Linked DNA regions of Macaca fascicularis. The protein of the gene in region 1 purifies or fractionates together with the protein of each later gene. This does not show direct contact. Links are inferred from orthologs where the notes say so. Each region holds a gene or a part of one and is shown on either strand. Other genes may lie near its edges.

Region 1 (4,158 bases):
CCAAGCCTACCATCACTGAAGGGAAAGTCTCTACTTAGCATGGCCAGCTCTCCATGAGCTGCAAAGTTCTGCACATCTAAATATAACCAACATCTCACACCGTGTACAAGGCTTGGCTAAATTCTTCCCAGATCTCCAACAGGCTTGTTCTTTAGTAAGATTCAGTATAATTCAACAAAATCCTGCATAGCTATTCTAAACAATACTTTGAGGGCCTACTATATGCCTGACACTATACTATTTTATTTCATTCATTTTATTTCATTAAACTGCCACAACCACTTGAGGAGACTCTGAGGCCCAAAGAAATTAAATAATTTGTGCAAGATCACATAGCCTGCATGGGGGAAGCCTGGAGCTGAACCCAAATCAGTGTGACTACTATGTCTGTACTCTTACCACTACACAATGCTAGTTTCTCTACTAAGTGTTTGCCCTGCACTTAAAAGGAGTAACACATGGTACCAGGCCTCAAAGAGGTTTCAAGCAAAATAAAGGTACAACTTCAATCCTACCACATCACACAGAAGAGCCCTCCCAAATTACATAGATCCCACTTATGTGAGAAAGTGAGATTTTTTTTAAAACTCTTTCCTAAAATCTCACTTACTCATTGAGTTTATAAATTTTTTCAGAAAAAAAGACTTCATCGAGAAGCTTGTGGATGTTGCGTCTCTCTGCTGCAAGCAAAACACCATCATTTGCTAAAATTCCCAAACAGGTGCCTGCATGTCCAATAGCTTCCATGGCATATTCAACTTGGTATAAGCGACCTACAAAACAAAAGCAGTGAGAAGCCAAGACTCTCCTCTATGCTCTTGCACCACTGACCCAAAAGAAATTAGCAAGGAAGCAAGCTAGAAACAAATTCCCACTTTCACTCTTCTATGGTATAATCAACCCGGTGACCATAATTGCTTCGAAGTACAAAAAGGATGAACTTTGCAACTACCAAAAAAAGTTTGTAATTTTTTTTTTCTAAAAGTCTAACACATTTTTTTTTTAAACTTGAGGCAGATTAAACAATTTCTATTTTACCTTCTGGAGAAAATATAGTGGTCCTGGAGTCATATCTTCGAGACTGCAAAGGAAAAACACATGAGTGATTCCTACCCACTGAAAGTAGGCCAACTCCTGCAAGCCCACAAATCACCTTACAAAACCTATCCTGGTATACAAAGTTCAGCAGATGAGAGGAAACTGACAAGAAAAAAGGCACCATCTCACTGCTTTCCTTCTATTTCAATTTTCCCACACAAGTCTGTAAGCTGAGTACAAGCAATACTATTTATCAGGCAACAGTTTACTGGCACATGTATTAACTCACCATGTTTTCTGAACTTTATATAGTTCCTGTAAAAAGAAAATCAGATCATCATTAAAATAAGATTCACAAATTAAAAAGCATTTGCTGACTTTACAAATTAGTTTTATTTACTCCCTTTATTCAGCTAAGTGTCAGGCGTTATGCTAGATGCTGGAATACCAAAATGTGTAAAACCAATTCCTGTCCTGAAAAGCTAATACTGGCAGTTAGGTGAGAGAGGCAGTCATAGATTATAATGCAGAAAGAGGAACCGGGGGTAGAATGGGAAAAGGGATGATGAAAAAAATCCAGAAAGTATTTTTTGAGAAACCGATACAGAAAATGAAAGTAAATCAGAGACGGGAGAGGCAGAAATAAGGCTGAGAACTCCTGGGTCTAAGAGAAAGAACAGGGGAAGAAAGAAGGGAAGGGCACTCCAGACAGAGCAGAAAGTATGAACAAAGGGTACTGAGGCAGGATAGCTTAGTGGGCATGAGACAAACTGCTGATGTTTTTAAAAATACATAAATAAGAGCTAAGCGAGTATCCAAATCCCGCGGAGCCTTGAATGCCAAGTTAAGACACTTAGGCCTTCTCCAGAGAGTCCTGAACTTGGGGGTGGAGGCAGTTATCTTGGGCACCATCAGTACCATTCGTGCAAAAGGCAATACTGGGTGCTCAGTGTTATTTGGTAAAGCCTCAGTCCAAAGCCCACATTCCCAAATACTGGAATACAGGGAATCAAGACTGGAAAGGTAAGCTGGAATCAAATCCTGGAGAGCCCGCGTGCCCAGGTAAAAACAGAATTTTCTCTCTCAGCCACTGGGGCTCCTCGGAATGATTCCCAAGGCCCGCAAGAACTGATTAGCATTTTAAATGATCCCTCTGGCTCGTGAGAGACGGAGGGCAGCGAACTGGTTGAGGTAATAGGAAGGTGCAAAGTAAGGATGGCCCAGAGCAGAGAAACAGGTAGGACACAGAGAGACTCGCCGGGGATTTCTGATTCGAGCGTAAGCACAACTTTCTGTGGTCTCCACGCCTGACGCCGGTCACAGCACGATTTTGAGTTCACCGGCACCTCTGGGAGCGCTAACTTTCACGTACCGAACTCCCGGGGACGGAAGCCGCCCCGAGTCCTCGGTCCTGCCCACAGATCCCCACCCTCAGCTCGCCCCCTCGCCGGGCCCCGGCGTCCAGGCTCGGCACGGGGAAGCCTCCAACGGCGGCCGGAGGGGGCCATTCCCGGCGGCTGGTCTGTCACCGTGGAGGCGGTGCAGAGTCATCGTGCCCACGGCTCCTCGGCGGCAACTGCAGGCCGGGACCGACTGTCTTGACGTTCACTACCCCCGCCGAAGGGAAGAGCGGCCATGCTTCCGCGGGCCCCCAGGGGCCAAAGGCTCACCAGATGGAAGACCCTGAAGACTTCAGATGTCCACTGAGCCCTTATCTCCGCGGGAAAATAAACCACCAGGGCTGCCCGAATAACCGCTGCTAATATGGCCCCCGCGCTTGCGCAGAACCGCTAAGGGAGGGGGTAGTGGGATGGCCGAGGACACGGAAGTCCTCCTTGTGGGGCGGAGCTAGAACCCGTGGCCCTCGTGGGAGCTGGGGCGCTGCAGCAGGTGGAGGAGTTGCTGCGCCATGGGGAGGAGGGCAGGAAGACCGTAGCCAACCAGAAGGTGGAATAACTAATTTCCTTCTCTTACCCTTGGCGCTCTACTTTCACTTTCTCTTCACTATTCACACCTAGGATAGCAAATAGTGTGGACCGGCTTCTTAATTGCTACCATTCCTGTCCTGTTTCCCGAAATGGTTCCAATCACATGAGACTTTACCTCTGTAATCATCTCCCTTTTTCATTCTGGCTTTCACTTTTACTGCTGATGTATACATTTTGGACATTTACATTATGATGAGGAAGGCTGGGTGGCTCACGCCTGTAATCCCAGCACCAGCACTTTGGGAGGTCGAGGAGGGTGGATCACCTGAGGTCGGGAGTTCGGGACCAGCCTGGCCAACATGGTGAAACCACGTCTCTACTAAAACTACAAAAATTACCCGGGTGTGTGGTGCACGCCTGTAATCCCAGGAAGCTGAGGCATGAGAATCGCTTGAACTCAGGAAGCGGAGGTTGCAGTGAGCCAAGAGTGCACCACTTCACTCCAGCCTGGGCAACAGAGTGAGGCTCCGTCTCAAAAAAAAAAAAAAAAATGATGGTCGGGCATGGTGACTCACGCTTGTAATTCTACTGCTTTGGGAGGCTGCGGCAGGAGGATGGCTTGAGGCTAGGAGTTTGAGGCTGTAGTGAGCTGTGATCGCGCCACTGCACTCCAGCCTGGGTGACAGACAAAGACTCTGGCTCTAAAAATTAAAAAAAAATTATGGTCAGGTTCACACTTTTAGAATTTTCACTTGGTGTGTTTCTCTGCTTTTCACCAGTCAGAAAGGATTACCCTGACCAGCGTAGTTAAAACAATACCCTACTGTCAGCATATACTTGCACCATTTTATCTTCTTTACTGAAATTGTCATACTTGTTTATGTGTTCATTATCCATCTCTCCACCCTTTTGCTCATTCAGCCTCAGTCCCTATGTAAACTATCTACTATTCATTTCAGGTTTTTTCAGGCTAGAAGGTTGACTAGATCTGGGTTCATATGAAGTCATCTGCTCAGTCTCTCCCAAAAAGCAACCCATTGGGCAGAAACTCTGTCCTCTTCATGTTGGTTGCAAAATAATTGGGGGATGTGGGCTTTGAAAAGGAGATGGCTTGGAAGTTGCATTTTGGGGTCTCACCTATCATCTCTGCTTTCCAAGCACACAGGGAAGTGAGCCAAGGCAAGATGGCAAA
Region 2 (4,183 bases), about 36 Mb from region 1:
TGGTATAACTATATTTATTGTGCCTGGGAGGCAAGATGAGGGAAAAATCTCAACAGAAGCAAGTTTGGGGAAAATCTGGAGTCCCCAGTAAAAAGTAGGAAGGTCTCTGCTGTACCCATCCCAGAATGGGAGAGAGGGCTCTCAATAGATCATTCCCTTTGTTTCTCCCCTGGGCTTCTTGAGCTTCTCGAAGTTCTTCAGGATGATGTCATATAACACAGCCTACAGGGCCAGGGAGGAGTGGAGGTCAGTCAGAGGCCTCCAGTGGCTCTGTGCCCCATTTCTAGCCTTGTGGAGAAGCTGCGCTTTGTCACCCTTTACCCCCAGCCTGCAGGGTCAGGGAGTGCGTGGCCTGGGAAAGCTGCCTCTGCCCACCCCTGCCCTCGCCTCCTCACATAAGCATTGCGGATCTCCATGACCATCAGCCGGATGTCCCGGTACTCTGCCTCATCCAGCTCGTGCACCAGCTGCCGATAATCACCCTGTGGGAAGCTCGGGTCAGGCCTGACCTTACATGAGTCCTTCCCTCATGCACCCTGACCTGGGCCTCACCTACCACATGGGGCTGCTTGGCTGCTTTAGTCACTGCATCACCACGCTCAGAGAAATACCTGTGGAAGGAGAAGTGTGTATGGAGTAGAAGAAGGAGGTCTCTGTCCCAAAACAGACAGTGTGTACATGGGTGGTCACTCACTTAGAGATTTGGGTGTGGAAGCCTTCTAGCTTGGTGTGGAGGCTGGTCATCAGCTCAAACACCTTCTCCTAGGGAAAAAAAGCAAGGGGGAAAGTAGAAGGAAGCATGGACTAGAAAAGAGCAGGGAAGTGGGGCAGCACTCTCACCTGGACAGCCACTCCAAAATTGTTACCATCCTCAATCCGAGGTATCTGCAGCTGCAACCAGGTGGTGACCTGGGAAGAGGGAATGGCGTAATGCCACATCAGCCCTCTATCCAATTCCGTTTCATATTCTCCCTTGCTTCCCTCCCCACACTGGCTGGAGGCATGCCAGGTCTCTCCTGAGCCTCAGAGCCCGGACTTCTGGTTTCACTTGCTGTGCCCTCTCTTGCTAAAACCTGGCATGTGCCAGGCCCTAAATGGCAGGGACTAAGAGGACAATGGTTTGACTTAAAGCCTGAGAGTTGAAGGGGGAGAGCCTACCAGGTTGAGCTGCTCAATGACATCCTTGATCTCAGGCTTCAAGCGCTGCAGAAGGACCAAGATCTTTTCATTGCAGTTCACTGGACCACAGGGAGGACCTAGAGAGTGAGCAATGGGTCAGTCACATGATTGAGCCTGTGTGAGGGTTGAAGGGGAGAGTAGAAAGAAATCCTTAGGAGTAGCTCCTGTGGGTGGGACTCAAGTCTCTTCCCACAATTGTGGTTTCAAGTACCTTTGTCTTCATCCTCCCCCTTCTTCTTTTCATCCTTGTCTTCCTTCTGCAGAAAAAGAGGGGCTCATGAGAGTCAGGACTAAGGTTGATTACCCCCATGGTTGGATCCCTTCTCCCAGGTCTTCCCAGCTTGCCTCCTGCTGTTTCTTCCGTTCCTCTTTCTCTTTCTCCTTGACTGGATCAGGCACTGGGATGTCCAACGGGGCCTTCAGATTGCTCAGGTTGGCTTCATTGAGAGCTGGCTCCTGGTGTAGGGTGGGAGGAGGGCTGGAGGTGAGGGGGTTCCTTTCACCTCACTCTCACAGCCCCTGACCCTTCTCTTGGCCTTTACTCCCTAGCTCCCTGCCCAGCTGCGGTACCTTTAAAAATGCATCCAGCTCAGAAATCTTCTTGGGGAAATAGCTCCCGAGCAGGTTCTCTGTCTGTGTGTGAGGTGGGATGGAGAAGGATGGGAGTCAGCATCATATGCCCATCCTAGGTGGTGAGGCAGGGTTGAGCAGTAGGAGTTGGGCAGGGGTGGGGCCGCTGATGGGGCATGTCTTACCTTGGTACAGAGGTCTTCACGAAACACATCCACCTGTGGGGCACATGCATCCCTTCAGAAACTTGGCTTTAAGGCCAGTTCATTTGAGGACAGTTCCCTTAGGGTTATGTAGGGCCTGACCTGGGGAAGGGTGGAGGGGATCCCTCTAAGGCCAGACCTGAAGAAAGCGAGATGGATGCCTGTGGGGTGGGTTGGGGTGGTGGAGGAGTGGAACTCTGCAGACCTGGATCTACGGAGAGTGGAATGGGTATCCCTAGGGCTGGATACGGGGGATGAGAACATTCCTGGCAGTGAAGGGCCAGTGGTTCACGTGAGACCAGATCCCTGGGGTCGCCTGGCAGGTGTGAGGAGGGGTGCTGAGAGCCCTCTGCGAGCAGGACAGGGACGGGGTGGGCCCCGGGACCCTCCCTAAGGGAAAGGCCACGAGGTAGCTGGGGCAGTCCCGCATCCAGTCTGTGTGTGGCCCCGGCTCCAGGCCAGCGGAGTTCCCCTCCACGCCAGCTCTCCGCTTCACCTCACCCCACAGAACCACGGCCGCCTCGCCTGTCCCCGCAGGCAGCAGTCACCGCCCTCCCCGGGGCGCAGGTGCTCCGGGAGCGCCAGCTCGGCGGACTGCCCCTGACTTGTGTGGGAGTCTGGGGGGCGGGTCGGGGATGCCCCCGGCCGCTCGAGCCACGCCTCCCCAGTGGGCCTTTTCTAGACCCCGCGGCGCTCACCTTGGCTTGGGCCTCGGGCTGAACCCTGAGCGTGGCCATGACCGGGACGGGGGGCCTAGCGCCGCACGAGGAACGGAGTGGGCACCGCGAAGGGAAAGCGAAAGCGGCGCTCGCACCACTCACGGCCTTCCTGGGTAGTGGGGCGGGGAGGGCTGGAGGAGGCGGGGTCAGCCCGGCCAGGGAGAGGTGCAGTGCAGCAGAGGAGGGCGGCGGGTGCGGCTCCCCCTAGCGCGCACAGGCTGCCTCGCGAGGGCCAGTTTCCAGCCTCCCCACCCCCGCCGGCCGGGTCCCCGCCTCCCCGCCCTCCTCTCGTCCCCGCCTCCCGCCTCCCGCCTCCCGCCTCCCGCCTCCCGCCTCCCGCCTCCCGCCTCCCGCCTCTCGCCACTCGCCGCCCGCCGTCCGAGGACGCCGGGTCCTCCCATCGTCTAGTCTAAGCCAGTCTCTCCGCGCCCCGCCCTCCACCTTCCGCCTCCCAACTGGCTCCCCACCTGCTCTCTTCTTCCCCTGCTCCGCCTGGGACAGATAAGTCTTACTTAGGGCTCTTCTGTCTTTCCCCAGAGATGGAATAAGACCTGGCCTCTCTTTCCTAGCCTTGCTAGCGTGGGCCTCTGGCTCTGCCGACATCCTCCGCACCTGTAGCAACACCGGCACCAGAGCCGACAGCATCCCTATCCAAGCCCGGACCAGCTCTCTCCTGGACCACCGCGGCATATGCCATTCTACAGCCCACTCTCACAGAGCAGCGGGTTCATGCCTCTGTCTGGCTTAAAACCCTTTCTCAGCTGCCTGTTGACCTTAGAATGAAATCCAAAAGGCTGTTGCAGCTGTCTCCCCTTTAAGTTCACTTTCTACTACTTGCCCCTTCATTCATTACACTTGCAAATACTCGGGCTATTTGTTTCCCAAATGTGTCATGTTCATTCCTGCCTCAGGGCCTTTGCCCTTGCTAATAATCCCTTTGTCTAAAACACACTTACCCTGGGTGTTGTCATTCGGTTCTCAGTTTAGATGTCACCTCTTCAGAGACAACTATTTTCATCATCCTCTATAAGGAACCTCCCTCCAAATGCATTACAAATCAGCCTGTTTTAGTACATTCATAGCATTTATCTCTGATATTAGCCCGGTTTTTTTTTTTTTCTCCCCAGGATAATTCACTGATTTAAACTAGCAAACTGTGTGTGTGTGTGTGTGTGTGTGTGTGTTGGGGGACAGAGTCTCACTCTGTCGCCCAGGGTGGAGTGCAGTGGCACAATCTCAGCTTACTGCAACCTCCACCTGCTGGGTTCAAGCGATTCTCCTGCTTCAGCCTTCGCAGTAGCTGGGACTACAGGCGCGTCCCACCACGCTCGGCTATTTTTGTATTTTTAGTAGAGATGGGGTTTCACCATGTTAGCCAGGATGGACTCGATATGCTGACCTCGTGATCCGCCCGCCTCGGCCTCCCAAAGTGCTGGGATTACAGGCATGAGCCACTGCGTCTGGCCAGCTTTTTCTATAAAGAGCCAGAGAGTAAATTGTAGGCTTTATGGG
Region 3 (3,521 bases), on another chromosome or scaffold:
AAACTGTCTCTACTAAAATACAAAAATCAGCCGGGTGTGGTGGTGTATGCCTACAGTCCCAGCTACTCCGGAGGCCAAGGCATGAACATTGCTTAAATGTGGGAGGCAGAGGTTGCAGTAAGCTGAGATTGTGCAATTGCACTCCAGCCTGGATGACAGAGCAAAATTCCGTCTCCCACACCCCCACACAAAAATAATCAATCACTTAGGTCAGTGCTAGGTGAACTTTCTGTGATGATGGAAAAGTTCATCGATGCTATTCAGTGTGGTAACCACTAGCCACAAGTGGCTAAAGAGTATTTAAAATATGCCAGTGAGACTGAGGGAATAAACTTTTTATTTAATTAAATATAAACAGTCAGATGTGGCTAGTAGCTACTGTATTGTACAGAGCAGACCTAGAAAATTTATACTGATCAGAGGACATACATTTACAGATAAAAATCTACGGCTGCAAAATGAAATCCACAGGAGTCACTGCCTACAGAACTGTCTTCTCCTCTTAATGAAGACAAAAGCCAGGTGTTAAAAACAATCCATTTATTGGGTTTTAAACTAGTTACACAATTGAAATCAATTTGGCACTACTTTATACAGGGATTACGCCTGTGTATGCTGACACTTAAATACTGTACCAGGACCACTGCTGTGCTTAGGTCTGTACTGAGTCATTCAGCATGTAGATACTAAAAATATACTGTAGTGTTCCTTTAAGGAAGACTGTACAGGGTGTGTTCCAAGATTATATTCACCGATTTGTGAATTATTTCAATCTAGAAGATACCTTTCACTCTATAAACTTGTCATACGCAAACATGTGGTGTTAGCATTGAGAGATGCACACAAAAACGTTACATAAAAGTTCAGACATTCTAATGATAAATGAACTGAAAAAAAGAGAAAAACACCACATCTCAGTTTTTATAACAAGGAAAGATAAAAGAAAATAATTTAAAAACACAAAAAATGGCATTCAGTGGGTACAAAAGCCCAAAATCACTATAATAAAGAACTACATGTGAATCTTTACAAATTACACAATGATGTTGTGTAAAAGGTTGCATCTGTACAAAGTCTTGCCAATGCTATCTCTACAGTTTATACAATCTTTTACATTTATATAACATATATTAAACAAATCAATTAAATATCAAGCCTTATTAGTCTCTCAACGATTCTGCAGGCAAAATAAAAAGGGAGAGAGAACAAAATAAAGAAAAAAAATTACAAAATTTCCACAAACACAGCAGTCTTCCATTTAGGTGAAGTATAACAATTTTCAGAGGGTCAAAAAATAGTTGTAAAGAATACAGGGAAAAACCAGCCAGTCAGGGTTTTTATTGTTGTTGCTGTTTATTTTTAAAATCACACATTGAATACACACAACAATCAGAAATTTCTTCACCAAACCCCCAATTTTTTAGCAACTGGCTCTATTCAGCACCAAAAACTCCAGTCTGTGGGAAGTGCGCAGACACAGACTTCACTTCTGTGTCTTGGTCGAGCAATCCATCAGGTCATTGGTTAGGTTCAGGACTTGCCCTCTTTTCCTTCCCTCTTCATGGCTCTCCAGACCCAAGGTTCTCAAGGCTTCAGATTTATGGCCCACAGCCCTACTACCATCTAAATCCAGCAGCCATTTGGGAAGAATTGAAAATAACTTGAGAAGAATGAAATGACAGGACCTGTGTGACAGATGGGCATTCTCCATTCCAAGTCAACTGTTTCTTAATGAGTTCCGAGACTCTGGTCTTGGATGCCATGATCATACTGGGTAATTATTTCTAGTCTGAGACTTTGTGACTTTGTCAGATGCCTCAAAAAAAAAAAAAAGTGATCAGTATTCTGGAAACACTTCCGGACAAGTTAGGAAATCAAATGGCAACTGAGAAGCTGTGGAATGCACACTAATGAGATCTAACACAGAAACCACCAAAATGATGAGAGCTCAGCAGAGGCAGTTTTAAAACTTGCAGAGAGCCACCACAGATGGTACCTGAGGGTGTGGAATTTTTGATGAAAAGAGCCTGAAGTGAGGACTAGTCATCTGTATCAGGGAGGAAAAAATTTCAATTAGGTAACAGGACATCCAACTCTAAAAGCCCAATACATGAAATTTTATTCTTCCTATTCCAGTAGAAAGGCTCCCTCTTTAACAGAATGGGTGTAAGAATCCAGATGAAATGTTCTCACAACTTTCTAGAACCCAGAGTCCTCAGGGCCACACAAAATGTCCCAGTCCCACCCAGGAGGCAACTAAGAATAAGATTTATTTTCCTTTATCTAACTATTCCCAGGCTACTGACACCACTCATTTACAAAGGTTCAAAAGCTGTCACACATTTTCTCTGCTTTATACCTAAAGCAAGGAGGCACAGAAAAATTCTCATTTCCAATGGCTGTGGCAAAAGCCATGTTTAAAAACAAACAACCCCCACCATCCAACTTTATCTAAACACTGACATCTAAGAATGTCAGCAAAAAGAAAAAAAAAAACAATAAATACCTACTTCTCAGTCACCAAACCAATGACATTTGCCTGAGGATGTCATGTCTTTAAATTCAGAACTTTGCCAACTTACCTTTCTATGCATAATAGCATGGTGACACAAGAAGATCGGTGAGAACAAGCAGTTGGTCATCAGTGAATTGCTGTTTGTGTTCTTGCCAGTTGTCATGGTGAGTCCTTCGGAAATTGGATAAGGTTTTTTTTACAGTCATCTGTAAAGTAGACAATCCACATACGTTTTTAACCTCTCTGGACAACCAGGATCATAGGTAGGATATTTTTAGTTAAATTACCATCCCTCTAGACTTCAGATCTCACACAATACCAAATGCTACAAAACCAAAAAGCCGATGAGAAGGACAAAGTCAATGGTCTTTTGAGTTACTAAAAATGCCATCATAATTTCCGATTTAATACTAGCTTCCAGTAAAATACTTTGCAGTGCTAGAAAAATAGAAACATAAAATTTATCACAGCTATAGTGACAGTACTTTACTTCCATTGAACTGGGAGGGATAGAAGCTACAATAATTTCCTGACTACCAAAAGATCTCAAATATCCATGGCAGCAAGGTCTCTGTAATTTTTAAATAATTACTGGTGAACAGACTGAGCCCTGGCAGAGGCAGTAGCTTTATGAAAGCAGTTAGTTCAGAGTGTATAGGAAATTATTATTATGGTTTCTTAGAAAACATCACTGATACTACATGTACAAACTAATAAGGAAGAACTGTACCTCAATAGGCTGAGGATCATTTAGATGTGCACTGAGATTCATGAGGAGCTGGGGCATCCAGGTGGGAACATCATAAGGACTAGAAAGAACACATGCGCCAAGTCCTAGCACCCCAGCATGGCGTTTGACCAACTCTGCAAAGAAAACAGCAACATATGTGCAAATATTTACATGTCTCTAATGCAGCTGTGACAGTGAAATAAAATTAGTTTTCAATTATGTTGTTTTCAATATGTGAATTTCTGCATTTAAAATGAATCTACATGTATACACATC

Evidence for each region.
Region 2: the proteins of PSMA4 (region 1) and PSME1 purify together in Homo sapiens (affinity purification with western blotting; 4 studies listed by BioGRID and IntAct, with this or other methods). This does not show direct contact. The link is inferred for Macaca fascicularis from reciprocal best matches to the Homo sapiens genes PSMA4 and PSME1.
Region 3: the proteins of PSMA4 (region 1) and PSME4 purify together in Homo sapiens (affinity purification with mass spectrometry; 4 studies listed by BioGRID and IntAct, with this or other methods). This does not show direct contact. The link is inferred for Macaca fascicularis from reciprocal best matches to the Homo sapiens genes PSMA4 and PSME4.

Annotation. Positions count from the first base shown.
Region 1 is NC_088381.1:55,902,875-55,907,032, reverse strand, and holds the start of PSMA4 (proteasome subunit alpha type-4), read right to left. Parts: upstream 2,828-4,158; 5' UTR 2,709-2,827; intron 1,354-2,708; 5' UTR 1,331-1,353; coding exon 1,328-1,330; intron 1,082-1,327; coding exon 1,039-1,081; intron 774-1,038; coding exon 611-773; intron 1-610. UniProt on the Homo sapiens protein: Component of the 20S core proteasome complex involved in the proteolytic degradation of most intracellular proteins. This complex plays numerous essential roles within the cell by associating with different regulatory particles.
Region 2 is NC_088381.1:91,949,867-91,954,049, reverse strand, and holds the start of PSME1 (proteasome activator complex subunit 1), read right to left. Parts: upstream 2,805-4,183; 5' UTR 2,690-2,804; coding exon 2,651-2,689; intron 1,968-2,650; coding exon 1,935-1,967; intron 1,813-1,934; coding exon 1,750-1,812; intron 1,636-1,749; coding exon 1,525-1,635; intron 1,437-1,524; coding exon 1,391-1,436; intron 1,257-1,390; coding exon 1,159-1,256; intron 910-1,158; coding exon 841-909; intron 763-840; coding exon 695-762; intron 612-694; coding exon 557-611; intron 483-556; coding exon 396-482; intron 223-395; coding exon 142-222; 3' UTR 1-141. UniProt on the Homo sapiens protein: Implicated in immunoproteasome assembly and required for efficient antigen processing. The PA28 activator complex enhances the generation of class I binding peptides by altering the cleavage pattern of the proteasome.
Region 3 is NC_088387.1:67,991,640-67,995,160, reverse strand, and holds the end of PSME4 (proteasome activator complex subunit 4), read right to left. Parts: intron 3,380-3,521; coding exon 3,246-3,379; intron 2,722-3,245; coding exon 2,587-2,721; 3' UTR 2,583-2,586; intron 2,048-2,582; 3' UTR 526-2,047; downstream 1-525. UniProt on the Homo sapiens protein: Associated component of the proteasome that specifically recognizes acetylated histones and promotes ATP- and ubiquitin-independent degradation of core histones during spermatogenesis and DNA damage response.